Linked DNA regions of Oryctolagus cuniculus. Each later gene encodes a partner of the first gene's protein in a complex. Links are inferred from orthologs where the notes say so. Each region holds a gene or a part of one and is shown in the gene's direction. Other genes may lie near its edges.

What was found.
Region 2: HDAC1 (region 1) and MTA2 share a complex: the UniProt entries of both Homo sapiens proteins name them as parts of the nucleosome remodeling and deacetylase (NuRD) repressor complex. The link is inferred for Oryctolagus cuniculus from reciprocal best matches to the Homo sapiens genes HDAC1 and MTA2.
Region 3: HDAC1 (region 1) and HMG20B share a complex: the UniProt entries of both Homo sapiens proteins name them as parts of the BHC histone deacetylase complex. The link is inferred for Oryctolagus cuniculus from reciprocal best matches to the Homo sapiens genes HDAC1 and HMG20B.

Annotation. Positions count from the first base shown.
Region 1 is NC_091438.1:140,171,633-140,175,273, reverse strand, and holds part of HDAC1 (histone deacetylase 1), read left to right. Parts: intron 1-112; coding exon 113-225; intron 226-3,641. UniProt on the Homo sapiens protein: Histone deacetylase that catalyzes the deacetylation of lysine residues on the N-terminal part of the core histones (H2A, H2B, H3 and H4).
Region 2 is NC_091432.1:8,952,947-8,956,687, forward strand, and holds the start of MTA2 (metastasis-associated protein MTA2), read left to right. Parts: upstream 1-1,453; 5' UTR 1,454-1,867; coding exon 1,868-1,895; intron 1,896-2,572; coding exon 2,573-2,640; intron 2,641-2,980; coding exon 2,981-3,074; intron 3,075-3,741. Other genes in the region: EML3 (echinoderm microtubule-associated protein-like 3), read left to right, coding at 133-231, 589-609, 690-1,120. UniProt on the Homo sapiens protein: May function as a transcriptional coregulator. Acts as a component of the histone deacetylase NuRD complex which participates in the remodeling of chromatin.
Region 3 is NC_091447.1:59,467,533-59,471,273, reverse strand, and holds the start of HMG20B (SWI/SNF-related matrix-associated actin-dependent regulator of chromatin subfamily E member 1-related), read left to right. Parts: upstream 1-1,086; 5' UTR 1,087-1,119; coding exon 1,120-1,182; intron 1,183-1,407; coding exon 1,408-1,463; intron 1,464-1,793; coding exon 1,794-1,902; intron 1,903-2,212; coding exon 2,213-2,416; intron 2,417-2,954; coding exon 2,955-3,075; intron 3,076-3,164; coding exon 3,165-3,211; intron 3,212-3,601; coding exon 3,602-3,674; intron 3,675-3,741. UniProt on the Homo sapiens protein: Required for correct progression through G2 phase of the cell cycle and entry into mitosis. Required for RCOR1/CoREST mediated repression of neuronal specific gene promoters.

The DNA of each region.
Region 1 (3,641 bases):
GAGATAATCTTGGGCTCAAGAAATAACCCAGAAAGACAGATTGCTGTAAAAATTCCTGGGTTCTCCTGGGAGTATGTGTCTAACGGTCATCAGAACTCTCCCTGTTCTTCAGGTGATGTTGGGAATTACTACTATGGACAAGGCCATCCAATGAAGCCTCACCGGATCCGCATGACTCACAACTTGCTGCTCAACTATGGTCTCTACCGGAAAATGGAAATCTATGTGAGTTACTTACTGCGAGTGTTCCCCTCTGTTACCTCATCAGCTCTGGTCCCCCAAATGCCATTTACTATCTGATTTTCTAAACCATGCACTCATTAAGCAAATGTGGGCATTGGCCTATCAGTTAAGATGCTTGTGTTCCACTTCGGAGCACTTGTATTCAATTCCCAGCTGCAGGAGACCCCCATATAAATAAATCATACTGCAGTGTGTAAGAGCAACAGTTTAGAAAATGTGCAAGATGCAGAGATAATGAGGAAGGAAGGAGGAAAGGGGGCTTGAATTGATTCTAGGAAGTGATATATGAGAAATTTTAAAGATTGAATAGAATTTAGCCTGGAGGGGCTGGTGTTGTGTAGTGGGTAAAGCCACTCCCTGCCAAGCTGGCATCCCATATGGGTGCTGGTTCATGTCTTGGCTGCTCTACTTGTTTGTTTATTTATTTTTAAGATTTACTTATTTATTTGAAAGGTAGAGTTACAGAGACAGAGAGAGACAGAGACAGAGAGAGACAGAGAGAGGTCTTCTGTCTTTTGGATCACTCCCAAAATGGCTGCAATGGCTGGAGCTGGGCCAATCTGAAGCCAGAAGCCTGGAGCTTCTTCTGGGTCTCCCATGTGGTTTCAAGGGCCCAAGCACTTGGGTCTATCTTCTACTGCTTTCCAGGCCATAGCAGACAGATGGATTGAAAATGGAGCAGCCGGGACTTGAACCAGCATCCCATATGGATGCTGGCACTGCAGGCGGCAGCTTTACCTGCTATGCCACGGTGCCGGCCCCTGCTCCACTTCTGACCCAGCTCCCTGCTAATGTCCTGAGAAAAGCAGCTAAACATGGCCCAAGTGCTTGAGTCCCTGCCATCAAGTAGGAGACCCAGATGAAGCTCCTGGCTCCTGGCTTCAGCCTGGCCCAGCCCTGGCCATTGCAGCCATCTGGGGGGTGAACCAGCAGATGGAAGAGCTCTGACTTTGAAATAAATAAATAAATCTTACAAAAAATTATCCTTGAGTTCAGGAGGGGACTGGTAGGGGGAAGAATATATGCAGTATATGCATATGCATATTATATATGCAAAAAGGCTGAGGTATTTGAGGAAAAATCCGTTTTTTTTTTTTTTTTTTTTGTTTTGTTTTTTTTGACAGGCAGAGTGGACAGTGAGAGAGAGAGACAGAGAGAAAGGTCTTCCTTTGCCGTTGGTTCACCCTCCAATGGCCGCCGCGGCCAGCGCGATGTGGCCGGCGCACCGTGCTGATCCGATGGCAGGAGCCAGGAGCCAGGTGCTTTTCCTGGTCTCCCATGGGGTGCAGGGCCCAAGCACCTGGGCCATCCTCCACTGCACTCCCGGGCCACAGCAGAGGGCTGGCCTGGAAGAGGGGCAACCGGGACAGAATCCGGCGCCCCAACCGGGACTAGAACCCGGTGTGCCGGCGCCGCTAGGCGGAGGATTAGCCTAGTGAGCCGCGGCGCCGGCCGAAAAATCCGTTTTTATGTGTAGGGATACAATGTGAATTCACAGACGTGAGGCAGGGCGTAGAGCTGGAGAGGTCAGCCAGCGTTGGATGTGCTGTGCTAAACCACTCTTGTAGGCCAGGGTCGGAAATCCAGTGGCTAAAAAAGGAGTGACTGGGGATCGTGTTGGACAAGTTGCCAAGTCTGTGGTTACGAGAGAGTGTAGGCTTCTGTCTAACCACCAGTCTCAGCTCCACTTGATTCTACCTGGTCTTCCAGATTTTAAGAAGCTGGAAATCCAAATTAGTATGCAAAACCTCCTCGGTTTAAAATGTTGGCACAGGGTTTTTGTTTTAAATGTTTGTATATAAAACACATCAATACACGTGCGGACCAAATGTGGTTCGGTGGTTCCCAATTTAATCTGTTCTGGAGGTGGTGGGGGAAAAGTGAAAGGTTTTAAATAAAAGATATAAGAATAGATAGGCATGTATTTTACAAGCAGGTAGGCCACTTAGGAGCCTGTTGCTAGAGTCCAAGTGAGAAAATAAAGAGGGGCTGGGGGCCCATGTTGCTTTATGGCGTGGTGCCTGCTGTTAAAGGCTGTACTGACAGTTTGAGTAACCTAGCAACAGCAGCATCCTTCTCACCATTCCAGAGACTGAAAGGAGATGAGTCTTCTGTCCCAGATGGCTTTGTCGTGTCTCTGGAGCTGGTGGAGCCAACTGGGGAAGGTAGACAGGGCGAGCAGACCTTGGGACCACAGTGCTTTATCAGGTGTGAAGAACAGGTGGGGAAGAAAGCATACAAGGCAGCAGAGGTTTTCAGGAACTCTGGGGAGCCGCCTAGCTCTTTCTATCAAGGAGAAAAACTCCCCAGGAGCTTCCCAATACACTCCCCCTTACCTCCCATCATCTCATTCCTGAGACCACTCACCAGTGTAGACGGATAGAATTACCAGAGCTGGCCTAGGCTAATCATGATTCTATTCCTAGGGCTGGGTACATTTTGTTACCAAGGAAGAAGGAACAGGATGGCTCTTTGGGAAGCAACCAGTAGTAACTTCCTTATGGGAGGTGAATTTCCCTGTGGTGTTCTTATAAACTTTTTTTTTTTTTTAAGATTTATTCATTTATTTGAAAGACAGAAAGGCAGAGTTATGGACAGAGAGAGGGAGAGACAGAGAGAGAGAGAGATCTTCTATCCATTGGTTTACCTCCGAATGGCTGCAACAGCGTAGCTAAGCCAGTCTGAAGCCAGGAGCCAAGAGCTTCTTCCTGGTCTCCCACATGGGTGCAGGGGCCCAAACACTTGGGCTACCCATCCTGCTTTCCCAAGCGCATTAGCTGGGAGCTGGATCAGAAGTGGATTGAGGCCGGCGCTGCGGCTCACTAGGCTAATCCTCCACCTGCGGCACCAGTACCCTGGGTTCTGTCCTCGGTTGCTCCTCTTCCAGTCCAGCTCTCTGCTGTGGCCCAGGAGTGCAGGGGAGGATGGCCCAAGTGCTTGGGCCCTGCACCCACATGGGAGACCAGGAAGAAGCACCTGGCTCCTGGCTTTGGATCGGCGCAGCACGCCGGCCATAACGGCCATTTGGGGAGTAACCAACAGAAGGAAGACCTTTCTCTTTGTCTCTCTCTCACTGTCTAACTGCCTGTCAAAAAAAAAAAAAAAAAAAAAGTGGATTGAACTGGCGCCCATATGGGATGACGGCTCCACAGACAGCAGCTTTACCCACTGTGCCATGGTGCCAGCCCCTATCATAAACTTTTAAAGGAAAAACCTAGTATCATCTCTCTTCCCTAATGCTAGACCTGTTGTCTTTCTCCCCCCCCCCTTTTTTTTTTATGATTTACTTATTTATTTGAAAGTCAGAGTTACAAAGAGGCAGAGACAGAGAAAGAGGTCTTCCATCCGCTGGTTCACTCCCCAGATGGCTGCAACAATGGCCAGAGCTGGGCCTATCT
Region 2 (3,741 bases), on another chromosome or scaffold:
GGGCGGAAGTGAGCACAGGGACCAGTTCGCATGCCAGAGCCTCACCTCAAACCAGTCTGACCATCCTGGCCTTCTCGGGCATGTTTCCAGCTGCGGGCAGGGTGGGCTGAGCTGGGCCGGCTGTCTCCCCAGGGGACGTGGCTGGAGGCTGCAAGCTGCTGAGGAATCGCTATGAGAGCCGAGACAGGGAATGGGCCACCTACACTTGCGTGCTGGGCTTCCACGTGTACGGTGAGCAGGGGTGGGGGGCCCGAGCGGGACGAGGTGGAGCCCGCTGTGGGCTCGGCACGCCGGGCGGGTGTTCGGAGAACCTGCGGAGGACCCAGCCCACGGGCCCCCTACCCCTTCGCCCTCGGGACCAGGAAGGACTGCCTGGAAGGCGGCCGGTTGTTGGTGGCAGCGAGTGCCAGAGATGGGGCTACGCTGGGCCGCGGGTGGTGGCGGGCAGGGGGCCGGGCTGAGGCCGTCGCTGTGCTAGGCGTGTGGCCGGACGGCTCCGACGGGACCGACATCAACTCGCTGTGCCGCTCCCACGACGAGCGCGTGGTGGCTGTGGCCGATGACTTCTGCAAAGTGCACCTCTTCCAGTACCCGTGCGCGCGCGCCAAGGTGAGGCTGCCCGGGGCGCCGGGGGCGCGGGCCAGGGCGGGCCCGGACGGCGCTGCCGCTCACCCTCCCCTCCCCGCCAGGCGCCGAGCCGCGTGTACGGGGGCCACGGCAGCCACGTGACCAGCGTCCGGTTCACGCACGACGACTCGTACCTCGTCTCACTAGGCGGCAAGGACGCCAGCATCTTCCAGTGGCGCGTGCTGGGCGCTGGGGGCGCGGGGCCGGCGGCCGCCACGCCCTCCCGGACCCCGTCCCTGTCCCCCGCCTCCTCTCTGGACGTCTGATCGCTGCCGGACCGGACCGACTGGCCGGCCCCTTTTCCTCGACTTCGAGACATTCCCAAGTGCGCATCTCCCCGGGGGGCGATCGCCCCTGCACACACTGTAGGGACCCGCTGGCCGAGCCGGGCCGCCCCAGCCTGGGTCCTGACTCCTGCTGCCTGCTGAGGGGCAATAAACCAAAACCAGAGTCGCCTCCCTGTGCTTTTGTGGGGCGCAGCTGGGTGCCCTAGGGACCCCGAGGGGTGGGATGGAGGCGAAGAGGAGTGTGGAAAGCGCCCGTAGGCCGTTCATGCAAATGGTAGGCAAAGCTGTTTGCAGACCGCCCGGCGAAGCGCGAGGGCGCGCGCGCCTTGCGGGACGTCAGGCGGAGCCGCAGACTCCTGCGAGGGAAGGGTTAAGCCCGCCTCCTCCCCCGCCCTCGGGGAGGGGGCGGTCCCGAGCTGCAACGGAAATAACCGAGGGACGGGCCGCGGTTGGCCGAAGCCACTCGAGCTCATTCCGGAAGTAGCCGATCTGTGGGGTCTTGCTCTCCGACCTGAGCCGAGCGCCGGGCCTTGTTCTCCGATCAGCCGAAGGTGTTCCGGAAGAAGGCGAATCCCGAGGCGGGCAGGGCTAGCCTCCCCTGGGCCCGCGGAGCTCAACGTCTGGTGGGACCGGTCGAGGTCGGGGGTGGGGGTGGGGGGGCGGCTAGCCGGAGCCTGGCTCCGGTCCGGCAGGAGCCGAGTTCGTTCCGGAAGAAGCCGAGCGGACCGGCGCCGGCCTCGGCGTCCCGGGCTTGAGGCGGCAGCAGCGGCGGCGACAGCGCGGGCCGGGATGAACCGCGACGGCTGAGGCAGCGGAGGCGCCGGCTGCGCGGACCCCAGGAAGACTCTCCCAGAGCGCCGGCCCGGCTCTCGGGGCTTCGCCTCGAGCCGAGCCCTGCCCCCGCGAGCTTCCCGGACCCCTTTGTGCGGCCGGAGGCGGCGGCGGGAACGGCCATGGCGGCCAACATGTACCGGGTGGGGGGTGAGTACCGGGCGCAGGGGCGCGGGGCCCGGGGCAGGGGGGGCCGGGCACTCGGCGGCGCAGGGAGCCGCGTCTGGGGCGGCGTGGACCGGAGCTCGGACCGGAACCGGAACCGGGAGCCCGGGGAGCGAGGGTGCGGGGACCGCGACGCGGCCGGGCTCCGGGGGTCGGGAGAGGCTGCGGGCAGCCCCGACGGCACTCGGAGTGCGGCACCGCGGGCCCCTGGGGCGGGGAGTGGGCTTGAGAAACTGGTTCCGAAGGAGCTGACAGGATAGGGACGGGGCCCCGGGGGCGGGGGGCCCGCGGCGACGGCTGTGCTACCTGCGGGGAGCAGCCTGAGGTTTCTTCTCCCTGGGCGTTATTGTGCGCCTCGCTCCGCCAAGGCGGGGGCCGGGTGCTGGAGCGAACAATTGTTCACTTCGCCGGGGCTGGAGTGCAACTCCATCGCTGAGTTGGGGGAAACTGCTGCCTGTCTTTTCCTGAAGGCTCACTTTTGAGCGAAGGGTGTGATTTAGAATCCGATGCGGCAAGGTGGAGGCATCTTAGTCTGCCCCTGTCCACACTCGAGCCTCCCCTGCCTGGACCCTTACCCACTTTTGGTCGACGCGGGCGGTTTTCTCTCCTCCTACCCTGACTGGCTGTCCCATCTTCCCGTTCTTCCCCACCCCCTCCTACAGATTACGTCTATTTTGAGAACTCCTCCAGCAATCCTTACCTGGTTAGACGGATTGAGGAGCTCAACAAGGTGAGTGGAATAGACCCCCCTCCCCATCCCCCAAGTGGGCTCCTTTGAGGTCTCTAAGTTCGGGTGGAAGAGAGGCCACTAACCTGAGTGCTCATTCATATTCATTCATTCATTGGGTGCATACAGGACAGGCTATTGAGAGCTTAGTGGGAGTCTTCCTCATCTGTCTCTCGGGTGCAAAGGAAAGGGGTTTGGAAGTCTGTCCTTGAATTAAATCCTTATAATTTCTTGAGCTCTTTTACTTAGGTCCCTTAGAAATTTATTCCATGTTGTTAGGCTCTGTGCATTTCCACTTTCAGATAACCAATTTTCACTGCTACGTTTTTTTCCCCTCTCTTAGACTGCAAATGGAAATGTGGAGGCAAAGGTTGTCTGTCTTTTCCGGCGAAGGGACATTTCTAGTAGCCTCAACAGCCTGGCCGATAGTAATGCCAGTGAGTGTCTTCATCCCCTCCTCCTGCCATCTGGGCATGTCCCTGCAGGTGTTTCCCCTGGTAGCATGCCCAAAGCAGGGGTGTGAGTTTTGGGGGTGGGAAGTGCCTGGTTTGTGGAGGGAGGCCTGTTTTTACACGTTGGGGTTGGAAGCAGGGTGGAGAGACCATGATAAGGAAAGCCAGACTATGGTGTATGTGTGTGTGTGTGTGTGAGAGAGAGACAGAAATGATAGTGTTTACATAGGAGGTAAGGAAGAGAAGCAGGACACTTTGGGGGGGTAGAGTTTTGAGTACACTGAGACAATGAGGGGTGTCTGAGGGTCAAGGTGAGAAGGAAGAGATTGTACTGAGAAGCCTGTGCAGCAGGGAAGCAGGCTTACTTTATAATCACGAGGTGGTGCGAACGCGGTGAAGGGAGAGAATGGAAGTTAGGATATGGCAGGAAAGTGTTCTTGCACTTTTTCTTGTTTCTCACCTCTTCCATGTCCCCTCTACTCCATTTTACTTCTTTCCTTTTTCCTTTTGCCTTATCTTCCTTCCTTTTAAGCTCTCATTTTCTTTTGGAAAATGTATTGCCTTCATTTTTTCCTTGGCTTCTTTTTCCTTTCCTGCTTTGGTTTTCTTTCCTCTTCCTCTTGTCTAAGTTATTTTCCTTTTTAAAGGCTGC
Region 3 (3,741 bases), on another chromosome or scaffold:
AGGCGGGGCCCGCAGGGCAGTTCCTACGGCAACGCCAGCCTGTCCATCACGGACAGAGGCGGGGCCCGCAGGGCAGTTCCTACGGCAACGCCAGCCTGTCCATCACGGCTCGGAGGCGGGGCCCGCAGGGCAGTTCCTACGGCAACAGCAGCCTTGTCAATCACAGCAAGGAGGCGGGGCCCCGCAGCAGAGCCTCAGGGCGTCCGTGGATTCCAGTCTGCGCCGTCTAAATTTAGAACATTCTCGTCACCCCCGAAGGCAGTGCCCAGCCCCTCCCTCAGGCCGCGGCGACCACGCCCCCTTCCTGTCCCCGCGGAGTCCCCTGCCCGGCCGTGGGGCCCCACGCGCGTTCGTGCTCCCCGGCGTGACGTCTGCGGGGCCCGCAAGTACTCGGCCCCGCACTCCGGGCCGCAGACGTCTGTCCCGTTTTGCGGGGAGCCTCGCGCAGGTTCTCCCGCAGCCGCACCCCGGGACTGCCGGGCTGACCGTCCGTGAGCGCCAGCCGCTCCCAAACCCACGCACCCGCCCCGTGGACACCGGACTCGCCCCTTGGTTTGTGCGAGGACCTGTGCGTGAGCAGGCAGATGGGGCGGGGGGCGGCCAAGGTGCCCAGGGTGCCCGAGGACTGACGGCCGTGCAGATGGGGCTGACTCCGGCCCGGGTCTCCTGCCCAGCCCCCGCCTGACCCCGGCCCAGGTCGCCTGTCCAGCCCCCGCCTGACCCAGGCCCGGTCTCGGCCACGCAGCGCTCCAGCCTCTCGGCCACGGCGGGTTTGGCCCCCTCCCCAGCTCTGCGGGTGCTAAGAACCAGAGCCCCCTCGCCCTAGCGACCCCCTGCGTCCCCACGGCAACCGGGGCGGGGCCGAACCCGGATCCGCGCGCGCCTGCTGGCCCTTTAAGAGGCTCCGCCCCGCGCGGCCTCGGACGCCAGGGATTGGCCCCGAGCGCGGCCTCGCGCAGCCGAACTTGACGCGCCGCCCGCCGCCTCCCCGGCCCGCCTCCCCGGCGACTCGGCAGCCGCTGCGGCCAATCGCCGAGCGGCGCGCCGACCCTCATCTACATGATCACGCCCCCGGGGCGGGCCCCGGCCAATCGGGCCGCTCGCCGGGGCCTCATTAGCATGCCGGGGGCGGTTGGTTGGCGCGTCGCGGCGGCCGCCAGGGCCGGGAAAGTTTCTGTGGAGGTGAAAGCCGCGCGGAAGTCGGGGTCCCGCGCAGGGCGGGGGCGCGGGGGGCGCGGGGCGCGGCCGGGGCCGCCTCGGGCCGGGGGCGGGGCCGGGCGGGCCCCCGGGGGCGGCGATCGCCCAACAAAGGAGCCCCCGGCGCCCGCCCTCGAGCGCGTCCCCGCCCCCAGCGCACCCCCCGGGGTCCCGGGCGCCCCTCGCCGACGCCGCGCGTCTGCGTTGCAGGTCCGGCCCGGAGCCGCCATGTCCCACGGCCCCAAGCAGCCCGGCGCGGCCGCCGCGTGAGTGCGCCGCCCCCGCCCCAGCGCCCTGCCCCCTTGGAGGGTTTCTCCCGGGTCGCCACCTCCCCAGCCCGGCCTGCGCCCTGCCCCGGCCCCCTCCCCAGCCCCTCCTGCCCCCGCCCCGCCTCCACCCCTTCCCCAGCCCCGCTCCTTCCTAGGCCCCCTCGGGCTCCCGTCCTGACCCGGCCCGCGCCCCCCGGCTGGGCTCCGTCCTCCCAAGGCCGCCTCTGCGTCCCCTCCCCGATCTGCCCATGTCCCGACCCCGGCGGGCGGCGGTCTGGGCTCCAGGGGCCGGCGTGACCCTGGTGACCCCGTGCCCCGTGGCTGCAGGCCGGCGGGCGGCAGGGCTCCGGGCCCACACGGGGGCTTCGTGGTCGCGGTCAAGCAGGAGCGCGCCGAGGGCCCGCGGGCCGGCGAGAAGGGGTCCCAGGAGGAGGAGGTGAGCACAGGGCCCGCCCGCCCCGTGTGCAAGTCTTGTGGCTCCGCCCACTGCCCGGTATCCGGGGAACACTGTCCCACTATCCCCCCTCGCCCCGCCCACATCCCGGTGACCCCGCCCTTTGGGCGGAGCTTTCCTTTGGGCCGCCTATAAGCGCTTCTTTCTGTCAGAGGCCACGCCCACAATCAGAAGCCACACCCCCAGGGGACCCGCGGTCCGCCTGCCCAGGTCCAGGCCCCCTTGGACCTGGTCCTCCTCCAGCCTGGCCCTCTCGGGGCCCCGGCCCCTGCCCACGCGCCCCGTTCCGCAGCCGGTCAGGAAGCGCGGCTGGCCCAAGGGCAAGAAGCGGAAGAAGGTCCTGCCGAACGGGCCCAAGGCGCCGGTCACCGGCTACGTGCGCTTCCTGAACGAGCGGCGGGAGCAGATCCGCACGCGCCACCCAGACCTGCCGTTCCCCGAGATCACGAAGATGCTGGGCGCCGAGTGGAGCAAGCTGCAGCCGGCGGAGAAGCAGGTGCGGCGGCCGAGGGGCCCCGGCGCGCCCTGGCTGGCCTCGCTCGGTCGGTGCCCGCCGGGGTCGGACAGGGCCGAAGGGGGCACCGGCCTCGGTCAGCGCCCACCGGGGTCGGACAGGGCCGAAGGGGGCACCGGCCTCGGTCGGCGCCCACCGGGGTCGGACAGGGCCGAAGGGGGCACCGGCCTCGGTCAGCGCCCGGCCGGGTCGGACAGGGCCGAAGGGGGCACCGGCCTCGGTCAGCGCCCGCCCGGTCGGACAGGGCCGAAGGGGGCACCGGTCTCGGTCAGCGCCCGCCCGGGTTGGACAGGGCCGAAGGGGGCACCGGCCTCGGTCAGCGCCCGCCCGGTCGGACAGGGCCGGGTCTCTGCTGAACCCAGATTTGCGCGTTAGTTTAAATGTGGAAAACCCAGGCGGGTCCGACGGAGGCCAGCGCTGGTCTGCGCCTGTTGCGAGTGGGGTGCGGGCCGGGGCCACCGAGGGTGCAGCGGGGGCGGGGCGGGGCGGGGCTCGGGCCCACCTGCCCGCCCACCCGCAGCGGTACCTGGACGAGGCGGAGCGCGAGAAGCAGCAGTACATGCGGGAGCTGCGGGCCTACCAGCAGTCCGAGGCCTACCAGATGTGCGCCGAGAAAATCCAGGAGAAGAAAGCCAAGAGAGGTGGGCGGGGCGTGGGGGCGGAGCCACAGCCCGGCCATGGCCAAGGCCACTGCGTGATGGGCGCTGACCCTGCCCCTCCCTCCCGCCAGAGGACTCGGGCTCCGGGCTGCTGAACACCGTGTTGAACGGGTACAAGGTGAGCGCGGCCCTGTGCCCGCCCGGGCAGCAGGCAGGGAGGGTGCGGGGTGCCGCGGGGAGCCGGCCGGGAGGGGTGCGGGGAGCCACGGGGAGCAGGCAGGGAGGGGGCGGGGAGCCACGGGGAGCCATGGGGGGCAGGCCGGGAGGGCGCGGGGAGCCACGGGGACCCGGCCGGGAGGGCCCGGGGAGCTGGCCGGGAGGGGGCGGGGAGCCACGGGGAGCCATGGGGAGCCGGCCGGGAGGGCGTGGGGAGCAGGCCAGGTGGGTGTGGGGAGCCACGGGAAGGGGGCAGGGAGCCGGCCGGGTGGGTGTGGGGAGCCGCGGGCGGGCGCAGGCCTAGGTGCCCCGGGAGCTCCCCCCAGCATAGCCACCTCGCCCCCCGACCCAGGCCGGGGACTGCGACGGCCTGGCCGCCTTCGACGTCCCTATCTTCACTGAGGAGTTTCTGGACCAAAACAAAGGTTGGCGCCCGGTGGTCCCGGCGCGGGGGGGGCGCGGGGAGGGGGCGCGGGGCTCTCCGGGGGGTGG